Schizosaccharomyces pombe: one gene and its partners. The gene in region 4 interacts genetically with the main gene of each other region. Each region holds a gene or a part of one and is shown on either strand. Other genes may lie near its edges.

Region 1 (8,589 bases), on a different chromosome or scaffold from region 4:
ACTCCTCCCATGCACGCAGCCATTGATGAAGTAAAAACAATATTCTTTAGCTTTCCCTCCTTTAACAAGTGATAAAAAGCTTGGTAAACATGAATAGGACCTAACACATTGGTTTGATAATGAGACATCCAAAGCTCGTCTGATGTTTTCAAAACAGGTTGGAAGGATTTCGATATCCCCGAATTCACCCAAAGAACATCAATACATTTTACTACCTTTTCAACCTGCATGGCAGCGTCTTTGGCACTTCGTAGAGAAGTGACATCTAACTTGATGATATGTACATTGGAATGGGTCTTGCTCCAATCTTTCAGTTCAGAGGCAGATCCAGGTCCACGAGCACTTGCAAAAACAGTTACTCCTTCCTTATTGCTTAACTCTTTGACTAGAGAAAGTCCAATGCCACGGTTTCCACCCACAATAACGTAAACTATCCCACCAGCAGCCGACATGTTTTAGCATAAAATGACTCAAAAAGATTCAAGGTGATGATTTTTTTCAACAATAATTCTTTATATCAAGGTCAGTCGTCTTGCCTAGCCTACTTGGTTGGAGGTGTAAAACAGTTGCGCTCACGCATAATGTATCAAGTCAGAAAGATCTGCAAATGCATCGTCGCACAGTTCTTAAACTATAGTCACTAAACAATAATACGTTATTATTTAATCAATCAATATGCTTTATGAATGACATTATGCTCTTTTGCCCAAATTAAGCCCTAAAGTCGTAGCTGGTATCTCTAGTCTGAGTTTGGGACAGCAGTTTTAAAGTAAAAGGCTGCTGAATTCTATCAGGTATCATTCCTCCATTTGCTACTAGATAAAGCTACTATAACTAAAGAATTGGCAATACATTTCGATAATAAACATACAAACAATGTAGCGGATTCACATTTTTATTGCTACAAATTTACCAACTGGTGCTAACTTGCGTTGTCTAACTATATATCGATAGTGAAGGTTTTTTTTCTATTTCATATAAGCAACTTAATGACAGGCTACGTTATATTTCAATTTGCAACTGACTTTATAAAGGAACCTGACAGAATGTACAGCTACTGTAACGTTTTGAAAGGTGCTTCGTAAAGTAAATATAGCGTTTTGCTTTATATATCGCTCCTTTCTTTCTACACTGTTAATCTACTTTAGTAGGTAGGAAAGGATATCAAGGGTGTAAGAAAATTTCATGGTTTTTCTGTTGTATGTTCATTTATTTTATATTTATGGAGTGTTTTGTACGCACTAGCTCTTTTAGTGTTTTATTTTTACTGCGAGAAATGTAATTTTCATTCTTCCTCTTTTATTTATATATGTGTTTTTTTTTGGTAGATTTTGTAAACATCATATAGCTTGTTAATGATCAGACTTTATTTTTTTAATATTTTCTTTTGTTAAGCAATTTCGTTTAAAAATAAACATATCCGACTTTGATGCTTCAAAAATTTAATGTAATAAAATAATATTCCTGTTTTTGAATCTGGGTTAAAATCATATCGGATACCTTATAAAATTCACTGATCATTTAAAAAAAAAAAAAAAAAAAAAAAAAACCCCCCGAAAACATACAATTTTGTTAATTTTCAAATGCATTCTTTTGAGGTCAAGCCATATTTACTTTTATCCCAAATATTAAATTTAAGTGTCATATGCAAAGTTGCAAATTCGCCGACCGTAGGGCTATCAAAACTGATGATGTTTAAAAATTGACTAATGGAACAAATTTATCTTGAGATGAAATGATGTTGTTCAAAATTAATATAATTTTTTTTTGCTGTTTCCTCTTGCTTTATACGCATTTTCCTGCACCTCTCTTTCAGAATACACATTATTCTTATTTGGTATTAAGATTCACCAATTGATAAAATAACACCTAATTGTATGCCACGGCTATCTTGCTATTATTGTAATTTCGCTTTATATTCGATTTTGACGAATGAACCCTGTCAAGTTGGAAAATGCAAAAGCAGTATTCTACCGTTACCTCTCAGTAGTAAAATGACCTTCCATCGATGAAATTCTCTAACATTCTCTTCGTATTTAAAAATGTATGGATCGTATATTCCTTGCTTATCCACGATTCATGAACAATTAAGATTTGCTGAATGGGTAACACATATTCTGCGTTACCTCGTATAGTTCATTGTTAATCAATGTTTAAACACTAAATTTCCCATCTCCCACTGTTAATTGAAAATAGGTTTTATTCAATAAATTACCATTTAAAAAGACATGTTATTTTAAGTTATATATTTTATGAACCTAAAGATTGAAGTAAAGGCCTTCGGAGCCTTTAGTTCCCCTACTATGTGCCTCTACTCGCTTCTTGGGGCTTAACTGTAATGTAGTATTGCCAATTACACAAAAAATTTATATTGTTCTTTAGCTTCTTATAATTCATTTAAATGAGAGGTAAAAAATTCGAGAAGACATTTCAGAAAACTACAGAAGTATCCATTTGTTTGAAATTAACTGTCCTAATGCAGATGAATCCTATGTAATAGAAATATTACAACCGTGGCTATAAAAGAAGTTGAGAGTTAGTTATACGTAAGAATATCTTTTAAAGATTTCAATCGACATCTCACATGATTCATCAGTATTAAACGTAAAAGTTTACATATTAGTTGTAGCACTATTCGTGATAAATGAAATAGTAAACCAAAAAACGAACGAGGAATAATCTTTTCATCACTAGAATATTAAAATTATTTTATATAATCAAAGTTAGAAAGATTCCTTTAGTTCCTTGAAATATTCTTTAATTATTATTGCAGCACTAAGGATTGCATCACTGATATGTCTCAGTAATGATTATCAGAACGTCTGGTAATAAAGCACGATCCTCTCTCTTTTTTTGTTCTGACTCTCGTCAGGATGAATTCCTTCTCAAAGTGCCGGGAGGAATTGCTTTGTATTTTTTGTACCGTACTTACATTTTATCGTATACTTTCACCTTAGCGCTTTTGGTGTCAAAACAATAGAGATGTAAATTTTAATAGAAATTAAAGCTTATTGGAATTTTTGTTTTCAAGTGTTTTAACATGTAGTGATTGTGTAAAGTATATGTTTACGTTCTAGTAATCGACTACCGTTGAAACTTGCAAACTACCAAACAGTATTGCAGACAGTGAATCAGTCGACGGAGCACTTGAATCAATTTGTTAATAATATAGAGATTAAATTCACAATTTATTGACACATGATTAACTGAATTCATTAAAATATTTGTTTTTTTGGTATATATTTCCTTTCAATACCCTCGCTATTTGTTTCTTAATAACTGAAGACAACATTGATCTACTTAATATATATGACTCAAAACTCACAGAGTAATGGTGAAATCGTGTCAAAAAAAACCGGATATTGATGAGTTCTTTTCATTTTTGCAGAGTGCATTCCATCCTCTACAGACCGAGGAACTTGATACATTCGTTCGCAACATTTTTGAATATGACGATCGAGGTCGTTTGTACAACTGCCTTTTAACTCTAGGTAAGAATGAATATTAGATATAATCAAGTTTATTTTTATCGCTTTTTCTAAAATTGTGAATTTTCAATTGATCGTCGTATGCTTGATAGCAATTTTGATGATCTTTTATCAAACATTTTGCACGCCTATAACTCTAAGGTTATATCAATTCAATTTTCTCAAAGAAACATATAAAATTTTACTCTATTCATGACTTGGCATGAGTGGTTGGATGAGACTGTGGCGTTGGTCGTTAATTATATTTTTTGTTGTTTCTGTTCGAAATTGAATGGTTGATTTCAACATTTAGCCCTTGGGTTTTTATTTCCCTAGGAAAAATGTTTGGGAGATTTAACCGTACAGTTTTCTGTAAAGCAAATGATTGTATAAAAAAATTATGATGACTGAAAATTCAAATCTACTACAATGTCACTTGAAAAATCGATTTCTTTTTTGATGTTTTATTTCTTTTTTATTAAAATTTCTAACCGTTAATGCAGTTCCTTATGAAAGACTTCCAATAGATGCAGAGGATCTTAGTAGTCGAAAAACCTATGCGCGTCCCGTACTAATCCGACAATACCGCAGTTTGCGGTTTGCCAACAAAGAAGAAAACATTTGTCGGCTAACTCCCAACTCAGCGTTCGTCCCTGTTCGAGACTCTGCAGTCGCTAGCATTTCAACCTCAAAAGTGCAGGACTTTAACTCCTATGCTACTCTCACTGAAGCACAGAAAAAAACGGCCACTCCCGTTGAGGAAAAAAACTTCTTAAATCAAATTGTCATACAATGTTTAGACTCTTTGGAAACCGACGTTGAAACAAATACCACGCATGCTACTTTACTAGCCGTTGACCCTACTTGGTTAATCCGTGTATCACAGCATACCTGTGATCGGAAAGCTGTGGCTAATCTCTGTATTCAGTATGGAAGTCAAATATTTTATGATCCATCATTTCGAAATGCTTATGAATTATGGTCCAATCCTTCAGTTCTTTTGGCTTTTTTGAAGGCCCAAAGAGTGTTGGTCGTTTCAGATATATTTACTTCGTCAACATTGAGATCAACACAAGGGACGCCAATGTCTTTTCCTAATTTAGCTTTGGAAAGCGCTGATAATGTCGAGAACGTATCAAAGCCTATTAACCCTCGAATGGAAAGGTTTTCATCAGAGGTTAAATCTTCGAGTATTCTGAAACAACAGATTGCAGCCGTTGTTGAGAAAATCAATTATGACATACGCCCTCAACGTGATCAAATCCCTGAAGAAAATATCGTACCTAGAATCTCTTACTTAACAAGTACCACTACTTCGACCAAATCATCACCGGTTCCCGAAAGCACTACAACAAACACAACTGAAGTGCTGAAAGAACTTAATGACATTCAAGAGAACAAAAGCAGAAAAAATGTTGAAAAAGCGACTGCGGCAACAGAAGAAATGCTACGTGGCCATCACAAACCGGTAGAAGGAACAACGGCTACTTCGGAAAAAGAAAGCATTAAAGAAGAAGTTGATTTAGAAGTTAACGGTGACGGGAAAGTTGAAGCGGAAGAGAGAATAGAATTGGAATCTTCCGATTCAGAGAAAGAGCTTTCAGAGCTGATTGATTTTCTTAAAAGAGAACACCCACCGGAAGATACTCCAGAAAAACGAGTAAAGATTAAAAGAATTAGAACATTACTCGACACATGGCAGCAGGAGTGGAGAATTTTAAATAAAGCCATTTCAAATGCAGAGTCAAATTCTGGGCGAGGACAGAACTCCAAAACGAAAACTACTTCTGTAAACTTATCGCGAAACAAACGAACGAGGACTTAAGAATGTTTAAAAGCATTTTTTTTGTGGAACATAATTATTAATCTTAGAATTACGAGCTTTTTATTTGGAACACTACTGAGTCTAATTATTTAAAGAAAATTATCAAACAACAATATTTGTATATAACGTTTACTCATTTCCCAACAAAATTAATTTATAAATAATAATCAAAAATGAACCGAATTCCCTGTATACTTAACCATAATAGTAATAAAATTCCAAAACCAATGCTACAATTCGATAAATGCAGTATGATCAAGTGTAGCCATTTACCTCCTTTTGAAAAGGAACAAAACAGTTACACAAAAAGAAATACCAAACGACTCAATGCTTTCCCTCCTTTAACTCCTTGGCACCAGCTTCACCTAATGCCTTAGTAATTGTCAACTTGCCCACTTGTTGAGACGCAATTCCGGCAATTAGTTTCTCATTGCGAACATTTAATGTTTTTGTAATGTTCTTTAAAGATATTAGCAAAAAGAACATATATAAAAGTAAATTTTAAAACATACCGCATTAATTGTATGGTCTTTGATAGCAGCTGCTCTTCTAGGGGCACAATAACGAGCTAAAAGTCAAGGTTAGTAATGAGTATTAATGATGAATGATAAACCATATAATATGATATCTTGTATGCTTAAGAGTAAAATGATTGAAACGTGTATCAAAAAATTTAATGAAAAATTTTACTATAATGAGTATCTAAAGTTACGAAAAGATGAAGAGTTTATAGCACCACAAAGGTTGTCCAACAACTTCAATGAGCTTAAAATATTAAAAGAAACATCCCTAAACCAAATTCCCTAGCATACAAAGATCACCGAATATTTGACAGTTGCAGCTGACATACCGCCTTTTTTAGGATTCTTGGAGTGTTTTGTAACACGTCCGCCCTTGTTGGCACTACTATTTTTCTTCTTTTTAAATTCTCCTTGTGCCATTGAGTTACGATAAATGGTAATGGTTATAGTTTGGTGTAGTAAATGAATTTTCATAGATACTTTGAAGGTAACATTAGAAGGAGGTAACAAACATCGCCATGAATACAGCAATAAGTAATACATACAAGTGGCATTACAGACTAAATAATTCGTTTTATAAGCAAATGTATAATGAGGGAATTGTTATACTGTTAATGTTACCGTCTATAAAAAAAGTGTACCTTTAGAAAGATCGGAATGCCATAAAATGTGAAAGTTAAAGTGCAGTGTTTCCCACAGTGCAGAATGATTTAAGAAATTAAGACTTTAAAATTCATTAAAAAACACGTACGTTTGCTAAATGATTGCTTCAAACATAACGAATCTTTTTTTTTAAAGAACAGGCGAGATCATAAAAGAAAACATTAACCTGCACAAGTAAAAGACAGATTAAAGATTCAGATTGAAAGGGAAAACGCCAGCAACCGACAGGAAATAAAATTTTTTAAAAAAAATTTAGTCGTCGGTGATGGCCAGCTTCAAATAGAGACCAATTATAATACTTTTTGCTGCTCAAGCAGAATCTTGAAATTACGACCGTCGTCCAGTCGCACGGAAAACTTATTGCGAACAATAAGTAACGTTATGCGGATAAACTATACAACACGCTTTACTTCGAAAAGTCGCTTTAAGTAGAAAATTTGGAATACACATACGGAAACTAGAATAACGGTTTGAAGAATACTCCACCACTTGACGCGGTCATTTGTGCTTTCAGCAGTATTGCGATGTATTCTTTCACGAGCCACAAAATACTCCTGCTCATGTTTTACCTTGGAGATGGTATCATGGAGTTGGCGGACCTTGCCGAGTAAAGGATTGTTAGCATCCAAATCTTCATCAGAGATATATATAACACCATGCACATTGAATAAAACCTCCTTTGATTCACCATCGAGTGCATCCTATTGATGTTGTTAGTTAAGATTGTACATCTAGCTGTTTCCGGCTCAACCATCAAACAATTAGACGACATGGGAAATGACGACCATAATGCCAGGCTTTGATGCCAGAAAACAAAAAGATAACACATACATTATAGAAACAATACATGTATTTCCCTGGGTTCTTAACGGTGAAAGAATATTGGGCCATAGAGTTGGGAACCTCTTGATGCATAATTTGACCCGCAGGATTGTAGATACTCATAGAAACAAGCTGATCACCACCAACGTTTGTTTGATAAGTGACAGACATTTGATCATTATTCCTCAAATTTTCATAGAAACATTCTAAGTTTGCTTCATTAGCATTGTATACTCCATGAATCTCAACACAAATACACTGAAATTACATACCTCGTTGATGCGGTTTCAATGTAATGCCATGACCGAAAACAACAGATATAAAATAAGCACATAACACGGCTTTAAATACGTTAAAAAACGCCATTTTGCAAAGTAAAGCTCTTTGCTCTTTGAAGCAGCAAGAATGAGGTCTATGGTAGAGGAAACGTACAAAGCACTAGTTGGAGGGCAACCGTGCATAAACAAAGCACAACTGTGAAATTAGGCGACGCTACGTTAAATTTGCTTAAGAAAAAATACGATGTCTTTATAAAAAAAACGTAATACGGTATCTTTCCTTATTTCTGTGGAAATTATTAAATCATTCTTGTCTTCAGAGTATAACTAGTAATTCTCCAAAACTTCGTTTATTTTGTATTTAACTTATTATTGAACATCAATTCATTTTATTTTTTTTTCTCTCCTATTAATTAGGTTTTGCATGAACTTGCCATTTGTTCGAAAACCTTTACTGTTGTATTCATAATATTTTTGCCAACATTTTAAAGCCACACTTTGCTTGTCCTCTCTTTCTTTGAATTTTTAAAAAAAAATAATTGTTTTACCATGTTTCAAGTCATCCAAAAAGAACTTGATTTTGGGAATGCAATGATACCAAAAGTATGGATACAAGTCATAAAGCTGAATCCATCCTCTTCTATCTTTGTATGGGGAAGCAATGTTTCAACATGTCCTGCAGGTGATTTAGCCCTTTCCATGCCAGGTAAATCGGATGTCGTTACTACCAAACTTACTGGTGCTGGCTCAATTGACGATCTTTCTACTCAAATGTCTCGGATCCTCTCCAAAAAATTTCAAGCTCAAGTCTACACTAGCATAAACCTTCAAGGGGACTTTCCGAATGATCCTGAGGTCCAATCTGTTTTTACACAGGTTATCCGTGCTGTCATTGAAATTATCGAAAGCTCAAAATCCTCATAGGTAAACTCGCTGTGGGTTTGCGACGCAACCGAAACTAAGCACCAGTAATTGAACTAATAAAAACTAAAAGCGCGGTCTCTTTTTTCTTC
Region 2 (8,465 bases), on a different chromosome or scaffold from region 4:
CAATCACAACCAGAATTGCCTCAAGATTTGCGTCTGAAAAACCCGTGGCCTGAACTAATTAATTATGTAAAATCAATGGATTTGGACAATATGGACTCATCTTCTCTGTCAGAAATACCGTATATAGTCTTAATCATCCATGTCTTATTAAAGGTCTCACCAGCACACGCGCAAAATTCACAAGAAGCTGATGATTGTGCTATGTTTCGAAAAATAATGGAGGAATACAAGGGAAAATGTGATTCAGAAAACATCGAAGAGGCTTCATCGAATTCTTGGAAGGCTTTTAAGGAATATAAGGTATTTGTATTTTTTAGAACGCATAAATTAATATGAAATAGTTGCCAAGCAACGTATACGAAGTTTTACACGATACTCGCTGCGTTAAAATTCAGGAAGATTCTGAAAGCTTTTGGATCATGGCGCATTGTCTCAAAATGTTCTATGATGAGACAGAATTTCTTCCACTATCTGGATTATTGCCTGACATGAATTGTTCTACTCAACAATACGTAAAGCTACAGGTCATGTACGTTTTTTGTTTAACTTTTACCATTACTAATATTTCAGCTACAAAGAAAAATCTGAAAATGATATTTTAAAATTCAAAAAATACGTTCAACAAACGCTGAAACGTTTAAACCGATCAGTCGAGGAGATAACCGATTTAGAAATCAAGCATTTTTCTCGAAATTGTTTAAATATAAAGGTTATGGATTTCAAAACAATGAAAGAGGAGTATCAACCTACATCAAACTCAGGTACGTTAACAGTATTCGCTTTTGTCTGACCGTAGTTCTCGAATCATCCTCGATTGACTCAAATTCTTTACTTCCGTGGTATTTAGCGTTTCGCATATATGATACAATACTTGAAAAACATGGAAAAAATTACAAAGAAGCGTTCAGTGATACAACTAAAACAATCAGCGTTGCTCAATCATTTTTGTCCCAAATTGGATTAGAGAAATTTTTTGACGTTGTTTACACAGCTATACAAGAATTGTACGCTAAATTTCTTATTCTGACTTTTTACTAATAGTTTCAGAGAACGCGCTGATGGTCATGAACTTCATTCAATATCATCTTTTATAGGTGGTATTGTAGCTCAAGAGACTATAAAGGTATGAAAAATTTATACAAATACTATTATGGACTAACTTTACTTTAGTTACTAGCCCAACAATATCTTCCTTTGAATAATACATTCGTCTTTGACGGTGTTCATAGCAGGACAGAAACGTTTAAATTATAATTAGAATCAGTATTTATTATTAAATGAAATTTCAAAAAAATTCATCATATTCCAAAAGTTCCTATCCCAAATCAAACATTCTCATATCATTTGCACCACAGTCTGACGTCCTTCTTCAAATAAGTAGGTACGCGTAAGAACGAATGCTTTCGACCCCAGTTACATCCCAGTTGCGTCTAAAAGAATTTCAAGATGTTTATGAACCAGCTGGTATGTTATAAAAGGTCAAAAAAGCTTGCTAATTACACTTTTAGAGGACACGTTTGCTTTGCTCGATGCGCTTGAAAAGGATGCCAAAAAATTGCGCCAAATGGCTGAAATGAAAAACTTATTAACAGCGGAAATTGGGTAGGTTTTTGGTTAAATCGTGAAGATATTAACCTGCAGCTGCGGATCTGGCTGTGCATCCTCATTTTTAAAAAGTGGGATTTTGAAAAACAAGCCAATTGGTACGGTTGCAAACCACAAAATATAATATGCTGATGTCTAGTTCATTTTATGTCCGACATCTCAAATTCTGCGTGTCGTGCTAGTAAGATAACTGCTCTGAATAATCGTGAGTTGTATAAGGACGATAATGGGTTGTTCATTACCGTACAAACTTCATTCCTTGACGGAATTAGACTCGGGAATGGAGTTGATATTTTAATATTCAACCCTCCATATGTTCCTACCGAGTTCGAAGAAATACCAAGTGAAGCTGCTACTATTGCTTCGGCTTGGGCTGGTGGTACCGATGGTATGGATGTCACTAGCACTTTGTTAAACCAATTAAAGGTAAGGTCAGACCTTTATATTTACATTAATAACTCATTTATGGATAGGATATACTTTCACAAGACGGAGTATTTTACATGGTTGCAGTTGCTCGCAATAAGTTACACTCTATTTGTGAAATATTGCAAAAGGATGGGTTTATTGTTAATGAGACTTTAAAAAGAAAAGCTGGGCGTGAAACACTAAGTATTCTAAGAATTTATCGGATTGGTAATACAATTTGGGATGAATAATTCAAATTTTTGGGGTCAATCAAAAAACAATCCTAGAAAGGAGTCGAAGAATTATACACATTCAATAGGGATGTTCATCATCAAGCATGTATGACAAGTTTTCCATTATCAATGTGAGCCCTTCTATTTACGCAGGCAGGGAGTTCATCTTCGTAATGAGAAATTATAACCATGGCTTGGGAAGGAGAGAGCTTTTCATTTAAGTAATTATGCGCCATATGGACATATTTGGTATCTACTCCCTGGAAAGGCTCGTCCAAAACAACTAAGCGAGGTTGTTTGACAATAGCACGACAAAACAAAATAAATCTCTGCATGCCAACCGAGATACTGCTTAATGGTTTATCTTTAATATCCTTTAGTTCAAATTCCTCTAAGATGCTACTAATTGCTGCCAACCGAGTTTCGGTTAACTTTGGGATGGTAAAGGTGGTGCTCCAGGCGCTAAGAAGAGCTTCAAAGCATGTATGTTGCTTCGGGAAATGATTGTGTATCTCTGGAGACTAAAAAGTCGTTAGTTTTAAAGACTATTTACTTTTATAGACTTACACAATGCCCTATGTTTTCTTGGATATCGAATATAGAAATTCCAGTGCCGGGCCCAATGCTTTTTCCAAAAAATTTAATATTGCTAGCAAATAACTTGGGGTGGTCTCCAACTACATATGCTAAAAGTGTAGTTTTACCGCTTCCATTGCTACCTGTTAAAGCCCATCTTTCTCCTTCTCTAATAGTCCAATTTATGTCAGAGAGTACTTTTCGTCCCCAGTAAACACAGTTGAGATGTTCCATGGAAATTAAAGGCTTGCCTATTGTAATAGGCTTGCTTTTTTTCATCTGGGGCTTGACAGGTATGTTAGTTGAGTGACTGGTCATAGGAATATACTGTTCCTTGGGCCCTTGATATGTGATTTTTTTATTTTTCAATTCCAATACATGTGTGATAAAGTCGGGAATTTTGTCCTGAGGACGTAAGGAAAGTACAATCTTTGGCGAACAATGGTTTGACATTTCACCTAAAAGTGAAGACAAAACAGATCTTGAAGTAACATCAAGTCCAGCTAAAAAAAATACTGTTAGTAATTGTATTAACATAAATTGCACCCCTTAGTGGCCAGCGTACCGTAAGGTTCATCAAGTAAAAGAAGCTGCGGCCTTTGCACAAGTTTCGATGCAAGCATCGCTCTTCTAGATTGTCCATTGCTCAAATTTATTAAACTCGAAGGAAGTAAATGAGATAACTGAGTCATAGATGCGGCCTCTTGTACATGTTGAGAAGCAAACTTCTCATTCCCTCGATAAGCGCCCAAAAGCCACTTCTCCAATGTAGTGTCATGTTCTTTGTCTCTAAAGGAATGATATCTTTCAGAGTAGTATGCGGCACGCTGCTGTCCAGAACTTTTAAAATCAAGCAATTGGATTGCTTGCCATGGGCTATCAGATTTGCCTTTCAAGAATGGATATGAAAAACTAGTGGAGGGTGAGGGTGTAAAGGAACCTTGTATACACTGTATTGAGTTAGCAATTTAGTAAAGTTACTACCATGTAATTAATGATAATAAAAAGTGTTTGGTTTCCGACTAAGGGACAAAAATGAATTGTACAAAGCTGATTTAGTAAATTTGATGAATTGCTAAAGCTTTAGCGCATTTTTACTCCAAACACTTCGCATAAATTACAAAACATACGCGCAAGAATGTAGTCCTACCACTTCCAGTGTTTCCAATAATGGCCCAATTTTGCTTTCGAGCTAGTTCAAAAGACACATTCTTGAAAAGGGGAAATCGCGCATCTAAGAATGTCGTATTGGCAAATTTGACAAAAGACGCCATGCTGCAAGATATGGCCGCCGCTATATGCTCAGCAGCTTATATGGTGATTGTTAAAGTAATTAATGAAATGAGAAAACTCCGTATAAGTCAATTTATAAGTTGCAGTTTGATTCTGTGGTAGTGATCGTACGAAAGATAATAAGGCTTCCAGAACACTGCGTTTTAATTATGGAAGAAGCCATTAACAACGTGCTTCTTCTGTTACGAGAGGACTCGATATCTTTAGAAACGTAAGTCCGGTGGTTTTTAATCCATTTTGTTAACAATCCAAGTGTCCTATGGGAGACACACTATGTCTTACTCAATTTACATAATGAACAGAACCTTCGACTGGTGGTAGCACAATTGATTGCTTGCGGTAGAATATGGGACTATTGGAATGAGCATCGTTCTGAATACTTTGCATTTTGGGTTGAATTGATAAGCAGGAAAAAGGTAACGAATAACGGTTTGCCATTTTCATCCTTCGTGAAAAGCATTGTAGGCATTCTTGAGGTAGATGCAAGCAATGAAATTCTTTGCTTTCGAAGAATTTGTCTCCTTTGCGTTTTTTACAAACTATTGAGTTGCGATCATATCGTCAACTTACAATACCCCTTGAAAAGAGCAGTTAGCAAAGCTTTATCAAAACAGATAAAAACGCATCAATTTTCAGGATTTGAAGCCAATTTTTTACTGCAACAACTTTTTGCATCTGTCGATTCATCAGCGAGCGATATTTCTTTTGATGCATTTTCGTTACTCCCTCATTTATTGGTAAGTAGCAGTAAATATAGAACTCCAAAAAACTTTATACTAATTGTCTCAGAAATGGGAAGAAATTGTTTGGAGCGGTTTCATCAATTATTTGGATACTGAACACAAGCGGGATTCCTTGCCTACAGCTGTTTTGTGCCATCTGTTATTACGCTTATCAACTTATCAGCAAATCAGCATTATTAAAAGGTTAGTGTTTGACTTCACTGTTCTGGAAGACTAAATGATGCAGGTTAATAACTCTAATTGACAAGGCGATTCCCTCTTGGAAAAGTCGTTCCTCTGATTCTAAATATAATGACCATCAGTTTGTTAAAAAAAATTTTTTCTCAATAATTATGGTTTTAGAATCATTGGCAAAATCTCAGTACCGTAAAAGCAATGTATTGGCTGCAGACCGATCTTTATGTGAGTATATTATTTTGACTTTGTTTCATATGGAGTATCTATTCTCTTTTGTTGCATCATCATGGTCTACATTGGATTTTGTAATAACAACATGCTTGAGTCGTGTTGCTCAACCAGCCAAGTTTATCTCGGAAACTGTGCGGGAAGCCATTATAGATTCAATTCAACTCGAGGGATATGTAGACTTACAAAAGCTATCAGGCTCTCCAGTTTTGGTAACTTTGAGTTTTATCAATAATTGGCAAAATCTCATATGTCGACGTTTAGAAAAGCAAACAGTCAACGAGAAAGTTATAACGTTAAGCTCCACTGCTAAAGAAATATCATCATTAGGTCTTAGTTTCGCTGAAAAACTTATATCTCAATCTGACGAATCTACATTATGCAAACATTATGTTTACGCGTCGCTGTATGCGTGTCTTTTTTGTAATCTAAATGAGGGCTCTCCAAAAGACTATCTAGACAATGACATTTATGTTCATGCTAGGTGTCTCTTCTTGCTTACCAAAACGTTGAATCTCGACTCTCTGAAGAGCATCCTTTGCTCGAGAGTAAGGTTATACTATAACATCGAAATAGCTTATTATTTCACAGATGTTTTATTGAAATGGTTTCAGCCAATTATACGATATGAATTTGACAACGCCCTTATTTTTTATAAAGCTTCAATCAGTTTAGTAAGTGTTCTTGCTCCTGCTGCTCAAAAGCAATTCTTATCCAATTATTTGAATTCAATTCAAGGATTTTCAACTGAAACCAAAGAAGACTTAATTTTCCTTGTATCTTCCCAAATTCGTCAAATGCCCTATCAAAACGCTACTTCCTTGCTATCCTTTTGGCTATCTATTGTCGTAGGTCGTGCAGTTTAAAAACTCTATAATTTAGATGAAGGATAATATTTTCCGTTCTTTTCCAAAGCTATTGAGCTATTGGATTGTTTTTGGTTACACTACAATATCAATTATTGTAACATGAAACGTGTATATTAGTCAGTTTCGTTTTTTTTTTATCTTCAAATTCGAATTATTATTTTCAATATACCTATTATAAACATTTGTTTACCTTTCTCCTCTGTACATATTTTTATTTAATTTTTATATTCACTAATAACGGAGTGTAACGAATAATCTGGTTTACGATATATTAGGCAACGTATTATAGGGAATATTAACGATATTATCATTTGGCTGGGTTTTGGTCAGTCAGCAACTACTACTTTACACGTTCTCTTTTAAAAATGTTTATGACTAGATCAGGTAAGTAAACTGTACAAGTTTCTTAAGCTAATCTTTAGAATATGATAGAGGAGTAAATACCTTTTCTCCTGAAGGCCGGTTGTTTCAAGTGGAATATGCAATCGAAGCCATCAAATTAGGATCCACTGCTATTGGTGTGAAAACTAAGGATGCCGTCGTCCTTGGTGTTGAAAAGAGATTAACTAGTCCACTTATGGAATCTCATTCTGTTGAAAAGCTGTTTGAAATTGATTCACACATTGGTTGCGCAATTTCAGGCCTAACAGCTGATGCCCGTACAATTATTGAACATGCTAGAGTTCAAACACAAAATCATCGTTTTACCTATGATGAACCACAAGGTATAGAAAGTACTACCCAGTCAATTTGTGATCTCGCACTTCGCTTTGGTGAAGGAGAAGATGGCGAAGAACGCATCATGTCAAGACCGTTTGGTGTTGCTTTGTTAATTGCTGGAATAGATGAGCATGGTCCTCAACTGTAAGTCAAAATTATTTTATTTTTATGGAACGATGTGGCTATTGTGTTAATGCTTTTGTTTTTTGATTATCTTCGTACACCTGCCATTGTTTGGATTCCTTTTGTTGTAATTCGTTAAGATGCTAACTTCCTATACAGATACCACTCTGAGCCTTCAGGTACATATTTCCGTTATGAAGCTAAAGCTATTGGTTCAGGTAGTGAACCCGCGAAAAGCGAACTAGTGAAGGAATTTCACAAAGTACGTATTAACTTTATTTGCTTTATCTTTTTCCTTTTTTGTTAAACTAACAATGTCGTTCAGGATATGACTCTCGAGGAAGCTGAAGTATTGATTCTCAAAGTACTTCGACAAGTAATGGAAGAAAAGCTTGATTCCAAAAATGTTCAACTTGCCAAAGTTACCGCTGAGGGTGGATTTCACATCTATAATGACGAGGAAATGGCCGATGCTGTAGCACGTGAACAGCAAAGAATGGATTAACCTATGATGATTTAAATTCCGCCAATATTACCAAATAAAGCATGATTAGTCGAATGTTACATAACTCTACAGACTTGTTTCGCCATCACCTTTATCCTTTTCCTAGTATCTATGATTAGAAATGTATTCCTTTCATCTTTTAACCGTTTTTGTGTTTGTTCGGTTGATTGTTTATTGTATTTTAATTGTGATTAACCATATATGTAATATCAGTATATGTAACGTATCTTTTCTTTAAATGAACCTTTTGCTAATAAACAGCTTTTATTTGTACTAGTCTCCAGGTTTAAGTCAAATTTTATCGATTTATCGGTTCATATGGTTTGTATCGTGGGAAGTCATAAAATATCCAATTTCCAATAAAAAAAAATATATACAGTAAATAAAATCAAAATTCTGATCGTTTAAAAGATTTACAGGCAAAATTTTTTATTACAGTAATTTTACCATTTGTATAGGATTTCTGACTAACTAGCGTTTTTTACGTGTTGCTTCATTATATATCTTTGCCTTTGAATTTGAAGGTCCGGATCCCACTTTACTTCTATAAAGACTTTTCGAAAAACCATTTTTATTAAAATTGGATCAATCTAATGATAAGAGCGGCAAATGGCTTTAGAATTAGTGTTAGAAATACAGCAGTCTGTTTAGCTCCTAATTTTCGCCAATTGAAAGGATTTTCGATTATTAATTTAGGTTCTTTACAATATTTTCGTTATAACTCGGTCTATTCAAAGTCAATACGCCTTGTAAACACCTTAGAGAATCGCATTGTTCCAGTGTATAAAGGTAGTGTGAACAAAAATTCATCCAGGCAAAGCTGACTCTTATGTAATAGAATGTGCATCCCCACAATCAATCGGTGGGAAATCTAATTTGAAACAGCTACAATGGCCGAAGCCGCCCAAAAACATCTTGATTTTAAAGAAAAGAATGGACGAACGTGTTGATCACTGCTTCGAGACCTTGGTACAGCATCTACAAC
Region 3 (7,413 bases), on a different chromosome or scaffold from region 4:
AATTCTTTGTAGGTTATATGAATCGTATGTAAATAAACCAGAGTAACCATGTATGTTAAATGCTTTAACTGGAGGATCACAGTGATTTTTACTTTTTCATAGACATATTCAAAGTATGTGAGCAAGAGGTTTCCTAAGCAAGAATTTCTCTTATAAGTATTATTATTTTTAAAGTAAAGAGTCCATTTTTTAATATGCATTACTTGTTTTTAACATATTAGAAAATATCTGGGTTGAATTGTGCTAGACTTGTTTTACAGACGTACCACCTTATGAAAAGGAATAACAAAAAATGTCATTAAAGCAAATAACTATATCCACTCTTCGTCAATGGAAACTAGCAAATAAAAAATTCGCTTGTATTACAGCATATGATGCCAGTTTTTCACGACTTTTCGCAGAACAGGGGATGCCTGTAATGCTCGTCGGTGACTCCCTTGGAATGACTGCTCAAGGTCATAGTACTACATTACCAGTGTCAGTAGAAGACATAGCATATCATACAAAAAGTGTTCGAAGAGGTGCCCCTAATCGCCTCTTGATGGCTGACCTTCCATTTATGAGTTACAGTACATGGGAGGATGCTTGTAAAAATGCGGCTACTGTAATGCGTGCAGGTGCAAATATAGTTAAAATAGAAGGAGGAGGGAATTGGATTTTTGAAATTGTACAAAGACTTACAGAACGATCAGTCCCTGTTGCTGGACACCTTGGCCTGACTCCTCAGTCTGTAAACATTTTTGGAGGTTATAAAATACAGGGTAGGGAACAGTCTGCAGCAGCACGCTTAATTGAAAATGCACAACAGTTGGAAAAGTTTGGTGCGCAGCTGCTCGTCTTAGAATGTATTCCAGAGTCACTAGCTGAACAAATCACTAAAACTATATCCATACCCACTATCGGGATAGGAGCCGGAAAGCATACTGATGGCCAAATACTTGTCATGCATGATGCTTTAGGAATTACTGGAGGCCGCCCACCCAAATTTGCTAAGAATTTTTTGTCCGGGGCTGGGGACATTCGCACGGCTATCCAACGTTACATCTACGAAGTAGAACAAGGTCTATACCCTGCTGAAGAACACAGTTTCCAATAAATAAAATACAAAATTTCTGGATATTTTGAGCATGCAGGTTCTTAAAGAGAAGCTCCTGATTCATCAGCAAGTAGATAATTGGCGAAAAGATGGAAATCGAATTGCTTTTGTTCCCACCATGGGAAATCTCCATGAAGGGCATTTTTCTCTAGTTCGTGAAGCCAAAAGACATGCCGAAAAGGTTGTTGTCAGTATTTTCGTAAATCCAATGCAATTCAATAATCCACAAGACCTACTCTTGTATCCTCGAACCATGGACCAAGATTGCTCTCAGCTGCAAAACCTGGGAGTCGATCTGGTTTATGCTCCAACTGTTGAGGAGTTATATCCGGAAGGGTCTCAAGACATTACTTTTGTCGACGTCCCTAAGCTGTCCACCATGCTTGAAGGTGCGAGTCGACCAGGCCATTTTCGTGGCGTTACTACAGTGGTTAGCAAGCTTTTTCACATCGTAAATCCGGACGTAGCCTGCTTTGGTGAAAAGGATTTTCAACAAGTAGCCATCATTAAAAAAATGGTCCGCGATTTGAATTTCTTTATTGAAATAATTCAAGTGCCAATTGTGCGCGCAGATGATGGACTTGCACTTAGTTCTCGAAATGGCTACTTAACTTCCGAAGAGAGAAAAATCGCTCCCAATTTATATAAAATTTTGAAAAAATTAGCCCAAGAGTTGAGTAATGGCAATGGCGACTTAGAGAAGTTGATTGCAGAAACTAATACTGAGCTATCACGTTGTAGATTCATTCCCGATCAACTGGAAATCTGTGACTCTACGACTTTAGAACCTTTTACTGCTGGCACAAAAAATGTCGTAATTTTGGCAGCTGCTTGGCTTGGCAAAGCTCGTCTTATTGACAATATCCAAACAACCATCAACTGAGTCATGGATTGTTTTCAAATCACGATCAAGTGATCTTGTCATGTTTCCATTAGCCACAGACCTATAGTGTCTAACAACTCTGATTTTTATGTAACAGAGACGCTGTGAAAGTTTTATGTTTTAACTTTCTTTTACTGTCCTTTTTAGTTTGTTTGAAGGAATACACTTATTCCAATACCATCGTTTTATTGAATGAAATTATCCATAGTTTTCACTCGAAATAGTTTAATGTTAGAATTTGTTTTCTTGTTTGCCCATTCGAATACTAAAGTTTATGTCGCCAATCCTTCACTATGCTGTCGTTTCCTATACAATCGGGCGATTAACAGATATTTAGGAGAATGGGGTTTAAAAAGTCAATAGATTTTTAAATACTTCATCCAATGGTGTTTGCTCTTAAAGGAGAATGATGTATTGGTAAATAACACAAAAACGAACATTTGTGAGATGAATTTTGACCTTATGAAACAATCAAATCCAAGTTTGACCATTTCCATCATTTGCTACTTTCTTTGATTTTAATTACTACTTGGGTTATGGGGGTTCGATTACCAAAAAAAAAGGTACATTTGATCATGTTGATTACCTGCAATCATGTTTCCTTTTTGACAAAAAAAAAATTTAAAAATTGATTACCTCTATATATTTGCCAAAACCTTCGTAGGCTATTATTTCTTCAATGAATGACTTTCTAAATTTACAGTCAAGGTTTTCGATGCACCCATTATAACTGGTGCTTTCCATTGAACTAACCTTCCAGATTGGCCCTTTTGTCAAAACTATTAAAAAACTAATATTCCGTATTTTTCCTTTCTCTCTTTTTTCCTTCTTTTCAAGTGGGGCTGGAAAATCCGGCCCACAATACAATTTGTATGAAGTTAAGACTGTCATGCTGTTTTACTTTCGATATGATCGAGCTTGTTAATTTACAAGTTCTTAATAAAACGTTGTGTTTCTTTTACTTGACGATAAACTTATTTAGGATTGCTTAGACATACTTCCCCTTTGTTCGATCATCATGAAAAAAGGCCCATGTAATTATTCCCAAGTGTTTTCATATATAAAAAAGTTTTAATTTTTTTTTAAAGGGCATTGAGTCAAAGAGAAATTTTTAATTTTTAGTGAAATAGTATAAAATCCCTTTAAAGATGTCGCTTTCAAACCAATTCAGAAACTTTTGTATTCATCCCAACACTTCAACTAAGCTCTGATGCTCCTCTTACAAACAATAACATAAATTTTTACAGCGCCGCAAATGCCAAACAATGTGTGCTAAAAATTCCGGAGGCACGTTGCCAGCAGTCATTCTCATTCCGATTTTACGATAAGCAAAAAAATTGTCCAGAAGAACCGGAAGATGAACCAGCGATAATGCGATTGCTTTGACCGTATATTCCCCTTGGAGACAGAGCCGCAGTGATCCACATAAACATGGTAAATCCGTGGATCTTCTAGAAGATCTTGAGGTTTTACTGCCAATCAGCATCGACGACGATCACGTCAAATAACGAAAAAAACCCTTTTTGAGAATTGTTCCAACGTTAAGGTAACGCACTTTTTGGCATTTGGATGGCATGCATGCCAAAATCACAAAGTTTGCAGTAATTCGGGTTGCTTTGTTTTGGAAAAGTTCTCCCAGGAATCTAAAAATGTTACATATGTCTTACGACGAACTTACTGCCTATCAACTTGAGGGTAAAAGAAACGGAATGTGACCATTCATATTGCTTGGAATTGTTACTCAGACAATTGTATATAATGGCGCTCTTCATACTCAAGACGCTTCAGAATATTCCAATTCCTTTTGGGTAGAGAAATATTTGATCTTCTACTTTTTGGTAAGTAAAATTTATGATAATGGCGGAAAGAATGACAGTTTGGAGGTGATTTGATGTCGTTTGGAAAAGAGTTTTGGTGACAAGCAATTTTGTTTTGAAAATCATTTGAAGATCTTTTAATTCCTTAGCATTTATTTGACGTTGGAGTTGGCTGCAGATCTATTTAGCGAAATTGTTGTAAAAAGATCGATGTTCGATAAGTGTTCGTTAAGCGAGATAAGGAGTGGAAGTATCGAAATTTTAGACACTAATTGATTACACATTGATATTGGAGAAATTTTCGTACACTACTTAAGGCTCATTCCCCCTTGACTTTTTTGACCGATTGTTACATATTTCTTTTCCGTTTGGCTAATTATTTATTTTTTTTCATACTTTGTATATTATTGATTCTAAAAAATATCGGAGGTTAAGCTTTAGATGCGATTTTCTTTTTAACATGTCCATTCTTCGTTCTCCATTTCGTTTAATTCGATCGCCTGCTCGATTCTTTCCGTCACTCTTTCATTCCTCTTGTAATCAATCTTTTACTAATGGCTTAAAGCATCAATCAACCTCTTCGAAAGCCATGCCTGTTAGCGCATTCTACATACCTTCTTTCAACCTTTTCGGTAAAGGTTGTCTTGCTGAAGCCGCCAAGCAAATTAAGATGAGCGGCTTCAAAAACACCTTAATTGTTACCGATCCTGGTATTATTAAGGTCGGTTTGTATGACAAAGTTAAGGCTCTGTTGGAAGAACAAAGCATCACTGTTCACCTTTACGATGGTGTTCAACCTAATCCCACCGTTGGAAATGTCAACCAAGGTCTCGAAATCGTTAAGAAGGAAAACTGTGATTCTATGGTATCAATTGGTGGTGGTTCTGCTCACGATTGTGCCAAAGGTATTGCTTTGTTAGCTACTAATGGCGGTAAAATTGCGGATTATGAAGGTGTTGATAAATCCTCCAAACCTCAACTTCCCTTGATTGCAATCAATACGACTGCAGGAACTGCTTCTGAAATGACTCGTTTCGCAATTATCACCGAAGAGACCCGTCATATTAAAATGGCTATTATCGATAAGCATACTATGCCTATCCTTTCCGTTAACGATCCTGAAACAATGTATGGATTACCTCCTTCCTTGACCGCTGCTACTGGTATGGACGCTTTGACTCATGCTGTTGAAGCTTACGTCTCTACTGCTGCTAATCCCATCACCGATGCTTGTGCTGTCAAATGCATCGAACTCGTTAATAAGTATTTGAAGCGTGCTGTCGACAACGGCAAGGACGAAGAGGCTAGAGACAATATGGCTTATGCCGAATTCCTTGGTGGTATGGCATTTAACAACGCATCTTTGGGTTATGTTCATGCTATGGCTCATCAACTTGGTGGTTTCTACGGTATTCCACATGGCGTCTGTAACGCTGTTCTTCTTGCCCATGTACAGAAATTTAATTCTAGGGATCCAAGAGCAAATGCTCGCCTTGGTGATATTGCTTTTCACTTGGGTTGTGAAGAGCATACTGCCGAAGCAGCTCTTGACCGCATCAGTCAACTTGTTCTTGAAGTTAAAATTCGTCCTCATCTAGTTGATCTAGGTGTCAAGGAAAAAGATTTTGATGTCTTGGTTGACCACGCTATGAAGGATGCTTGTGGTGCTACTAACCCTATTCAGCCTACACATGACGAGGTAAAGGCTATTTTCAAATCGGCTATGTAAATAGAACGTTATCTCGATACCTAGAACAAATTATGAGCTTTTACATTTCACTGGCTTGAATGTTCACTTCAACATATCCTAAAGCATTTTTTTTGGCTTGAACCTTTTTTAGATTTGGAAAATATGTAAACAACGGTTTAATATATCAAATTTTGGATTTTTTTTATTAATTATATAAGTGAGCCTTTTCTAGTAGACACGCACGTCGTTTAATGAGTCTTGTTTGTATAAAAGTAATCATGTCTATCTTTTTGCTTCCAACGTAGTTCCAAACAACTCGAGGCCTTTTGTGAAACCTGCCATGGTGTCCCCTTCAAAACTCGATGCTATAAAATTCAAGTGATTAAAGAACTTATTCTTTTTGGACAATTAGCTTATACTGAAGCTTAATAGATTTGTTCGCGGTAATTCTCTTATTGGAGGAAATCTTGCACTAATGATCTACCAAATTCTGAATAGAGAACCAATTATTAGGTTCTGATGATCTTTTGCTAATACCTTACAAAGATAACATAATGAAACTAATGGATCAGAGGAAGAATTAGATCTTATTCCCAATTGCACTTGCAAATCCCAATAGAAGGGGAGACATGGATACCTAGTTAGAAACTAAACGCTTCTACATATTTCATAGTAAAAAACTTTTGGTCAGTAACTAACTTTGAAATACAATAGCTACTATAAGTGTTAATGTAAAATATATTTTGACTTCTATTAAAAGACCGCTGTTTAAAAATCACATGCAAAACCTCATTTCAATTTTACTCTTAGAAATTTGCCGATATTTTTCATTTAAAAGATTTAATGACACGATGGAAATGCACATTGTTTTAAGCTGCAACACAGAAACCGGCCCACGGTATAGTGAAAATGCATGAATATTATTAGTTTTTACAAATGACTAAATCCATTAGATGATTTGACGATTACCTACATTTCTAAACGTACAATCAGCGTAAAAGGTTATAACACAAGATTTTGCTTAGTAATAACTTGATTCATGAACACCAAGCAATAGAAAATATTAATATACCTCGTTATTCTTACTGTGTAAATTGATTCCTAACATCAAAGAAATTACTCAACAACCTTCTTTTTCGAGAACAATATACATTTATTTGTCATTTTTGGTAAATTTTAGACGACCCTGATGAAGATACTGCTAATTAACGGCGCTCAAGAATTCGCTCATTCCCAAGGGAAATTTAATAAAACCCTCCACAATGTAGCAAAAGACACATTAATTCAGCTAGGCCATACTGTTCAGGAAACTGTCGTTGATGAAGGGTATGATGAGAACACAGAAGTCGAAAAAATCCTCTGGGCCAATGTTATTATTTATCAATGGCCCGGCTGGTGGATGGGTACACCATGGAAGTTAAAGCGTTATATGGATGAAGTGTTCACTGCTGGATACGGTCAACTTTATGCAAATGATGGAAGGTCGAGTAAAAATCCAACTCAAAATTATGGAAAAGGTGGCTTACTTCATGAGCATCGCTATATGATATCTTGCACTTGGAATGCTCCTGCAGCCGCTTTTGAAGAAGTTGGAAATTTTTTCGATGGGAGGGGAGTAGACGGAACCCTACTGACGTTCCATAAAGCGAATCAGTTTCTGGGTATGAAGCCATTGCCAACCTTTATGGTAAACGATGTTATTAAAAATCCCAAAGTTGACATCGCTGTATGTGCGTATAAAGACCACTTAAACGACGTTTTTGGTTCAGCTAACGCTTAACGGTTACTCAATCATCAGAGTTTCATACAATCCCTGAATAAACGGCTAAATTAATGCTTGTTTCGTATACTGCTGTATGTGCGTGTTCATTTTTAGCTAAAGTAAACTGTGGTATGGAAATAGCTAGCCGCACGATATTCTGACGAA
Region 4 (8,705 bases):
AACTTTGAATATGACTCAGATCTCGATCAGGCATATGGAGGTGGTCCTGTTTCCGAATGGGCTTCAACCTTAGGTGGGGCCTATATAAATAATCTTGCAGACTCACTTCGTAATGTGACTAATCCCGACTTCGATCGTAAAGTATTTTTAGCATTTACTCATGATTCTAATATCATTCCTGTGGAAGCTGCTTTGGGATTCTTTCCTGACATTACTCCGCAAAATCCTTTGCCGACTGATAAAAACATTTATACATACTCCCAGAAAACTTCTTCATTCGTTCCCTTCGCTGGAAATTTAATTACTGAGTTGTTCTTTTGTTCTGACAGCAAATATTATGTACGGCATCTCGTCAACCAGCAAGTTTATCCCCTTATCGATTGTGGGTATGGACCTAGTGGAACTTCTGATGGACTTTGCGAGTTACAGGCTTATTTGAATTCACCGATTCGGGCAAATTCTACCTCTAATGGTATTTCCATTTTCAACACAGAATGTCAAGCGCGTCCTACCAACGTTACCATTTACTTTTGAACTATCAGCGCTATAATGTTTAAATAAACAGAATGGATCCTTTGAATAGGATAAACTATAATTTATTATAATCAATTTATTTAATTTTGGGTAATATTAGACTTAATTAAAAGAGGAATACCAAGTACTTTCCTTCCTACAATCAAAACAAGATGTTTGCTTGTAGGAACTGATAATCTTCCTTTGCCAGATGAAGGCAGTGATTTTTCTTGAGAAGTCTGTATTTGTTTAAGGTTTCAAGCATTACATTATTTGAAAGAGTACTGGTAACTGTAATTATATTAATTTTTACTTTATATACAATGCATATTATAATTAGAAGCATGTTAGGTTCTGACATACTATGAGGCAGCTGTCGACCGCGTAATTGACACTTTCAGAAGTGCTTTTCAAAATGCAGATAGTAGCATAACGAAGAAAACATTTACTACATCAATGTTGAATGAGAGTATCAGTGTAAAACAAATTCAGCAAGTGATAGCGAGAAAATAGTAACTATGATACATATGATAAATTTTATAAAATATAAAGATAAATAATCCCTCATATGAAAACTACTGCTGAAATGGATCGATATGAGAAAATGTTTTGAAATTATGATCATCAACAATGCCACGCCAAACCGAATGTGCTATCTTCAAAATACATAATAATTTCAAAAAAGTGTAAAAGGTTAGAATTAACAACAATTAGTAAACAAAAATTTTATAGGAAAATGAGATTTCAGAAACAAAGTTCCACTAATGCATTAAGTAAGGGTCTCACACAAGTGGCCTTAGTGGGATAAAAAGTCTTTAACGGAAGAAATCGGGCCTTTTCAAATTAATTCCATATTCATTAAGAGCGGCACTTAAGTCATCTACAGTGAGCACGGTTTTTCCACGGTCACCTCTTCTTCCGCTAGATCCAATCCCGGAAGCGCCTCCGGCTCCAAAATTCTGCGCACCAAACGTAGTTGAAGATGCATTGCTACTACCGGTTCGGATTTTAGAATATTGATAGGCGTCTTGAGCAACATCAGAAATAAATTTTTGAGCTGTAAGACCAAGAAGCTTTTTTAAGCGTGGGTCAACACATTTAAATCCAGATAAACTGAGGTAATAATCCAATAACACATCTGGAATTAAGGGAGAGTAATCATCCATTTGGGCCAAGAAATTTTCAAGTGTTTTGTCTTTGGCCATATCTCGCAATTCTAAATGCGGTTCTATAACATAATTCGAGCCATGCCTTTCTCTAGAATCATCGCTTTTGGGAGAATCCTCGTTATTTAAATGTGCAGGGGATTCTACACTCATTGGGGCGAGATTGTCACCAGTTGGCAGATTTGTGGAAGACGTTTCGGGTTGTTCATCAACACTCATCGAATTATTTCCATCTTCTGGTTCTTGCTTGGGCTGTTCAATATTTTCAGCTGGCTCATTATTGTTAATGTCACTCATTCTTTCTTTATTTGACCGATGTTGTAAAGCAAAGAATGTCTTTCTGCAACTTGATTCAAATCCGTGGTTCCTTGATTTATCGTTCGACTTATTGGAAATAATAGGAAATTTATTTCCCTAGCTTATGGACTTAACTTTTAATACTTTAATCCAGTGTTTCAAGAAACCACTAGGCCAACTAAAATAGGGATGGTGGAGGTGGACTATATTCTGTATTCGTGGTAAAGTAGCATTGTTATTTACGTATATAAGGGCTAAGATCGAAAAGTAAATAATTCCAATTCTTGGAATAATGCTAGTTGAATAATAGAAATTAATATATAAGATTAATTAACTTCTGGTAAAAAGTGTTGTTTAAAATCGGTATTATATAGAGTTCGGAGCGAAGTTGGTATCTACTACAATTTTTGCTTCTATAAGCAAATGTTCAGTTTAGAGTTGAATGGCAGCCTTCTTGGACTTGAACATATGTATTCAAAAGTAATTATTATTCTCAAACTACAATGTTATTCATTTGCTGAGATGAGCATTTTAAAGTTTGCGCAAACATGACTTCCAGTTAATATGTGTTTAAAACAAATAAAAAAATTTACTACGCAAAGAAAGGATATTTGAGATTAATTTGGTGCACATTTTTTATTTCTCATAACAAACTACATAATCCATTTCCCCATACTTTACCAATAATGTATTGCTAAGCCAGATCAAAGCTACATTAGATATCACTACTAATTATTGTTATTTTCATTTCAAAACTGTCGGATCCATACTACTGATCTTTAATGATCAGGACGAGTAAAACATCTTTAGGAAAATACAATTATTGAAGAAATATCTCAACCGAACAAACTACCCTTTCCTAGTTCAGTTGTAAGTTAATACAGTAAAATATAAAATTATATAGTATATTATATCTTAGCCTTCTTAAACAAATATGTAACCGCTGTACTAAACGAACTCCATAAAATTATACTAAATTACGAGGTAGCATATCACAATAATTATATCCTTATACTAGTTTACAAAGTATACTCAAACAACATTAAATCCTATAACGTATTCCTAGTAAATTGCTTCTTATGTTTAAGGAGGATATCTTATTGTTTAATTGATCGCTAAGCGATCCTTTTTTTATTTATTTATTATAGTTCTCTCTGATCATTAATTCTCCAGCTATGCTTACCTTTTTGAAGTATCACTTCTTCGTTTTTTTATTTCTTATAATTACCATTTATTATTATTTAGTTTCTCACACCTGTTTAAAGCGCTTGTCGAATCACCAAACACAAATAAGCTGTTTTATTTCACGATTGTTTTTCTCGCCCTGCACTTTATGCTTTGTTTGTTTCATAGTTTTTCCTTCATTAAAAAACTTCTTCACTGAAGTATACTGCTCATAGTGAAAATATAATAACAATTGCTTTCCACATGTATATCACATGTATTGTGTACTATGTACGCAATATGTCTCAAGATGTTCATTACTTAGCCACCACCAATTTGTGGTTTTCAAGCTTGAGCTAGTATAAGTTAAAAGAATCACACTTTTTACTTTCTAATTTTTTGAAATTTCCTTTAAAAAATTTCATTAATTGTGTTCCACAATTCCTGCTTTAGAGATATCACCACTCAACGTCTGTTTATTGATTGAAAGCTTACCTTTCAATTACCATTAAATTTGATTCATTATTTAGAAAGATTGGTATCAAAGCAGGTTTGTTTTTTGGTAATCTTGAAACCTCCTGTTTCCTAGTTCTTTGTGTTTCTTCGTGCCTTAAAGTTTGTTTAGGTTCTTATGCATCTGTGTAATAACCAGTTGCTTGATCATCTGGATTGCAATGCAGTTTACAGAGGCTATGTTTCACAAGAGAATAAGGTAAAGAGGAGAAAGCGGCTGTTTAATGCAATTCGTAAACTATGGAATGAAAGAAGGCGATATCGAATGCCAAAGGACGAAAGTATCTCGCCAACTCCAATCTCTTATTCATTTAGATCATTAAGAAGAGGCCATACTAGTGGGCATGCTAGTGAACACACTTCTTCTTCAAGATCTAGTCATGATGAATCAGATTCTATGTCCAGTTCTAGTGAATCAGACTCGGATTCTGTTTCCAGTGAATCAAATCCCAAATCTTATTCAGATTCTAGTACTAGTTCTGCAAGGTCGTCCTCTACTTCTGGTTCAATCTCCTTGTATGATGATTATTACCCTGCTTATTCCAGCAATGCTCCAAATACTGCAATATCTAATTATGTTAGCTCTGGTCTTTCATATTACGGAAATTCATCTATTATTATGAATGCTGTCGAATACAATCAGTTCTTTCCGCTAACCATAACTACTCTTATTGTTAAAAACAACAAGAATGTTGTTTCAAATCTTCCAAAAAATGTCTCATTTTACTTCCACTCTGACAACACGGTCCTTTTGAATGAGTATTACAAAAGCTTGTCTAAACTGAAGAATAATTTTCGTGGAATTATATATAAAACTACTCCTTATGGTAGCTGCAATGACACCGAGTCACTTCAAGTTGATACCAAGGGAAGCGTATGGTTTAGAGATGTTTCTAATATGGGAAGTTCTGGCTTAATCGCATTCGCGCCGTTTGACTATTGTGCTCCAATGCATGTATTGCAGGCTGTCCAGGATAGAGCAAAGGCAATACTATTTTATAATGCAAGCACTGCTAGTAATTCATTAACCAATTTTGACCACTTTGAAGATGCTGTAGATATGATTACCTTTGAAACATTACCAATGGCACTCATATCTTACGAAAACGGCATCGCTTTTGAAAAGATTCTCAACGAATACTCGGCTTCTTCTTTAAATTCGGTGCAGGATGGTGGAGCATTAGTCGAATATTTTGGAAACATTGATGCTACGGCCCGTTTGGGCGTTATCATCAGCAAGGAACCAAAGCTACTTGGCCTCTATATATTCATTGGTGTGTTATTGGGTTTAATCGGTGTCATAGGCCTTTTTATTTGCCTTCACTTTTCTGGTGCAATGAATGGATTTTATAGACTCTTAAATCGTCATGGAATTCCTGTTCAAGAAAGAATTGTGAATATTGGACCAAACAAACCAGAAAATCGTGTTACTAAAGAAATGCTCGATACTTTGCCCGTTAGAATGTTTTCGGGGCCTCATCTTGCCAATCCTAATGATGAGTTGGTTTATGAAAAGGATTGGAAATTAGACAAATCAGAAAGTTTTGATGGACAGGGAAATGTGGTTACTACAGCCGAAAGAGGGAGTAAGTATTTCGATCAGAGGGAGTGTACTATTTGCTTGTGTGAGTATTCAGAAGAAAGTCCTCTTTATCGAGAACTGCCATGCCATCACATCTTTCATCCGGCTTGCATTGATCCTTATTTATTAAAAAATTCGGATCTTTGTCCCCTATGTAAACAGTCAGTTACAAACATGTTGGAAAATGCTTCCGAGGACAATGTTTAAACTGCATATTTATGAATTTTCTCCATTGGTTGAGTAATTCCTGTACTTCTACTCATAAGGATAATTTTTTTTATAATCTATATTAGCATATTTTGTTCGACTCTCATTCATTTACGTTATAATATTTTGCTTGTCTTTATACGCATACGCATACTCATACTTATTGTTCAGTTCTTCCTACGACGAAGAAAACTTACGCTTCCTTAAGTTCATAATTTTCTTGCATCTTTTAATGGGCTAATTATCTATTTCTCATCGTTCTAATCTATTATTTGTGTTATCGTATGAATTCTATAGTACTATATAAAAGCTTACTATACATGTCATTGTTTACTATAAAAAGTTTAATACACATGTTGCTTGCTAGTTTATGATGAAGGTACAAAAAAACTATTAAGTATTTTACAAATTAGCCGGTCTAATGCTAAATTGCATATGTAAATATTTTTTTCTTTTCATTTAGAGACCTATTTTGATATTCTAAGAAAACGATATACAGTTATAATAATTGACATTTTTGGATTTGAGAAAATTAAATACTCTGAATTGTGTCTCATAAAATAGAAAAGCCATCAGTTTCTGCAATGAAGCCTTAGATAACTCCATTTTACACATTTATGCTCAACCAACATAATTCTTACATTTTCCAAATGGAAAGAAAATTTGCCTGTCATTAAGCAGATATGTGAAAACCAACTTTCTGATATTTCATTTTTGATACTTTCATTAATCTTTGAGACGTTTCTGAAATTTGGTTCCGTAATTTAACCGTGAAACTATGTTAACAATAACCTCAAGATGGGAATTCAATAAGCGTTTATCAGGTTCAGCAAAAAATTCGTTTAGAGAAGTTTCAATAAAGCGACGTAAAATACTTAAAGATGCCGAAACGTAAACATTTTCAAAATATACTGTAAAGTTGTCAAGCTTTGCTTGTCCAACTGATACTCTATTTTCGACTTTAAGGCCGCACATCATTAGAAGCTGGCGAAGAGTAACCATAGTAGTTTCATTAACATACTCACTAGCTCGAGTGGAAGACATCATGTTCGTGTAAGCAACGAATTTGGACGGCATGTTAGGTAACTCAGACCTATTATTCACCGATACATCTAAAATTCTAACACGCTTGTTGGTACTCAAGGTTGACCACTGTCTTTTTTCGTAATCATACCTTAAAATGTTTGGATACAGAGATGCAGCAATTACGCCACACAGAATTTCTGCATTTCCTGAGTTAATATCATGCTCTTTGGGGATAACGGCAAAACGCCGGCATATTGAACGTTTTAGGCTTTTGCAAGTATCAACATCCGAAGCGCCTAAAAGTTTCATATCCTTCAACTCAGAAAGCAGTTGGATTTTTAGTGATTCTGTCATACTTAAAGCCTCTAAATTTAAGTACTTTTCTTTGGCAAAAGAATCTTCATCAGGGCCTAAAGGTGAAAGGCAAATCTCTCGCCAAGCGCAGTAAGCATAATACATCAAAACTAAATCACTCCTGGTATTCTCCTTAGCGAATGATAATCGGGCTTTGTTTGCAGAAAATTCATTGTCAACAGATTTCCTAAAAGGTGAACCGATTGTTAACATGGCTACTATTGAAGAAGCGGCATCTACACATTTGTAGAAGCATCCCAAAACCAAGATTTTTCCTAAATTTGCATCAACAGGTAATTGCGACAAAAATTTGCCGAGTTTTGTTAATTTTTCGTTTTCAGAGAGCGCTCCCACTTGATGAAGCTTTTCTAAAGCACGAATAATATTGGTAGAGGAAGGTGGATCTAACGCCTTGCCTAAGACATCTTGTACATCACCCATTTGGCACATCTTTACTCGCAAAACAACTTCTTGCAGATTAAGTCTCAGAATTTCAGGTGTCTGGTAAGACAAAAATTGGGTATCATGTTTGAATTTTGAGAACAAATGATAGCAGATACCTTCCTGAACACGACCAGCACGTCCACTACGTTGCTTGGCATTGGCCTTAGATACAAATGTATCAGTTAACCGAGAAAGATGTCTTCTACTATTATAACGCATTTCCCTATGTACTCCTGTATCAATCACACAAGTGACATCTGGAATAGTAACACCAGTTTCAGCGATATTTGTCGACAATACAATCTTGCGGCACCCTTTGGGAGGGATGTTAAAAACGGACTGTTGCTGCGCAGAGGATAGTGTAGAGTGTAGCATGTATATACAGAACTTACGATGATTTCGAAACATAGGCATATCTTCGATAAGAGATTTTACACGAAGGATCTCCGAAATACCAGGTAAGAATACTAATACACACTTACTGAATTTCGGATCTCCTTCAGTGAATATATACTTTAAGAGATAAACGATTAAACCATAGTTAATGGCTTTCTCGTTATACCAAGCTGGAATTAGGTTCATTTCAACAATGGCATCCTCCGCAGATTTGTTTGAGATGCTCGCATCTTGTTGGTCGGTTTCATAGTCATCTTCCTCTATAACATCCTGTCCGGCAGCGTTACCGAACGACTTATCATTTCCAAACTGGGAAAGTATATCTTCTAAATAAAATCTATGCACTGGATATGTTTTACCAGGTATTGTGATTAAATTACTTCCTTCAAAGTATAACTGAAACTTTTCGGCGTTTAAAGTTGCACTCATAATTATAATCTTAAGATGAGGATGTTGTTTAAGTAAATGAAGTACATGAATTAAAAGAAGATCCGAGTCAATGCTGCGCTCATGAACTTCATCAATAATCAGATGAGTCACAGACTCTATTTCGTTTCCAACTTCTAGGAGACGCAGAAATGTACCTGTAGTAACATAAGTTAAAGGTGTTAAAGGCGTACATTTGGAATCCAGACGAACAGAATAACCAACAAGCTCATGCGAACGAGCTGAAGGAGGATTGCCGCCAAGTTCCTGAGAAACACGATTAGCTAACGATATGGCACTGATCCTTCGAGGTTCTGTAACATAAATTTTGACTGCTTTTCCATTTTTTGTAGAATTTTCCAACAGAAAAGCAGGAATTTGCGTACTTTTACCGCAACCTGTGTCTCCTGATATAATTAAGAGTTGACTATTATTGACAGCATCAATAATTGTCTCTCTAAACATCGTAGCTGGCAACTGATTACGGAAAACCTTAAATTTTTCGGCTGATTCACTTTCAAGTTGTTGTCGCCATTTGTTTAGTAAAGTCTCAGGTGGCCTTTCAAATCCAGAAAACTTGCCAATATTATCCATAGGGGCCATGAGTTTAGAAGTGG

What was found.
Region 1: mutations in SPOM_SPBC15C4.06C (region 4) and nts1 together harm fitness less than expected from each alone (positive genetic interaction), as found in Schizosaccharomyces pombe (one large-scale study listed by BioGRID).
Region 2: mutations in SPOM_SPBC15C4.06C (region 4) and pex8 together harm fitness more than expected from each alone (negative genetic interaction), as found in Schizosaccharomyces pombe (one large-scale study listed by BioGRID).
Region 3: mutations in SPOM_SPBC15C4.06C (region 4) and adh4 together harm fitness less than expected from each alone (positive genetic interaction), as found in Schizosaccharomyces pombe (one large-scale study listed by BioGRID).

The regions. Positions count from the first base shown.
Region 1 is NC_003421.2:929,666-938,254, reverse strand, and holds nts1 (protein Nts1), read left to right. Parts: upstream 1-3,099; 5' UTR 3,100-3,331; coding exon 3,332-3,491; exon of another isoform or gene 3,492-3,560; intron 3,561-3,970; coding exon 3,971-5,292; 3' UTR 5,293-5,518; downstream 5,519-8,589. Other genes in the region: SPOM_SPCC24B10.20 (dehydrogenase), read right to left, coding at 1-452; SPOM_SPCC24B10.18 (uncharacterized protein), read right to left, coding at 5,617-5,751, 5,805-5,860, 6,143-6,233; COPII-coated vesicle-associated protein Emp24, read right to left, coding at 6,869-7,177, 7,308-7,504, 7,571-7,664; proteasome assembly chaperone Pac4, read left to right, coding at 8,126-8,500.
Region 2 is NC_003424.3:3,908,404-3,916,868, reverse strand, and holds pex8 (protein Pex8), read left to right. Parts: upstream 1-4,245; 5' UTR 4,246-4,264; coding exon 4,265-4,326; intron 4,327-4,368; coding exon 4,369-4,852; intron 4,853-4,904; coding exon 4,905-5,041; intron 5,042-5,084; coding exon 5,085-6,129; 3' UTR 6,130-6,334; downstream 6,335-8,465. Other genes in the region: NEDD8-activating enzyme uba5, read left to right, coding at 1-300, 342-529, 571-761, 797-1,004, 1,048-1,123, 1,171-1,254; eRF1 methyltransferase Mtq2, read left to right, coding at 1,398-1,464, 1,509-1,602, 1,642-1,703, 1,745-2,031, 2,079-2,264; SPOM_SPAC323.04 (ATPase), read right to left, coding at 2,345-2,767, 2,814-3,325, 3,388-3,772, 3,953-4,096; proteasome core particle subunit alpha 5 Pup2, read left to right, coding at 6,498-6,516, 6,555-6,996, 7,135-7,237, 7,301-7,480; NADH kinase Pos5, read left to right, coding at 8,074-8,269, 8,319-8,465.
Region 3 is NC_003424.3:154,660-162,072, reverse strand, and holds adh4 (alcohol dehydrogenase Adh4), read left to right. Parts: upstream 1-4,140; 5' UTR 4,141-4,385; coding exon 4,386-5,525; 3' UTR 5,526-5,643; downstream 5,644-7,413. Other genes in the region: ecm31 (3-methyl-2-oxobutanoatehydroxymethyltransferase), read left to right, coding at 293-1,096; pan6 (pantoate-beta-alanine ligase), read left to right, coding at 1,128-1,979; SPOM_SPAC5H10.07 (uncharacterized protein), read right to left, coding at 2,601-2,870; SPOM_SPAC5H10.05C (FAD binding oxidoreductase), read left to right, coding at 6,676-7,266. UniProt on the Schizosaccharomyces pombe protein: Involved in ethanol oxidation in mitochondria.
Region 4 is NC_003423.3:2,248,473-2,257,177, reverse strand, and holds SPOM_SPBC15C4.06C (ubiquitin-protein ligase E3), read left to right. Parts: upstream 1-3,467; 5' UTR 3,468-3,771; coding exon 3,772-5,442; 3' UTR 5,443-5,767; downstream 5,768-8,705. Other genes in the region: SPOM_SPBC21H7.03C (multiple inositol polyphosphate phosphatase), read left to right, coding at 1-534; SAGA complex/transcription factor TFIID complex subunit Taf10, read right to left, coding at 1,329-1,976; dhx29 (ATP-dependent RNA/DNA helicase), read right to left, coding at 6,169-8,705.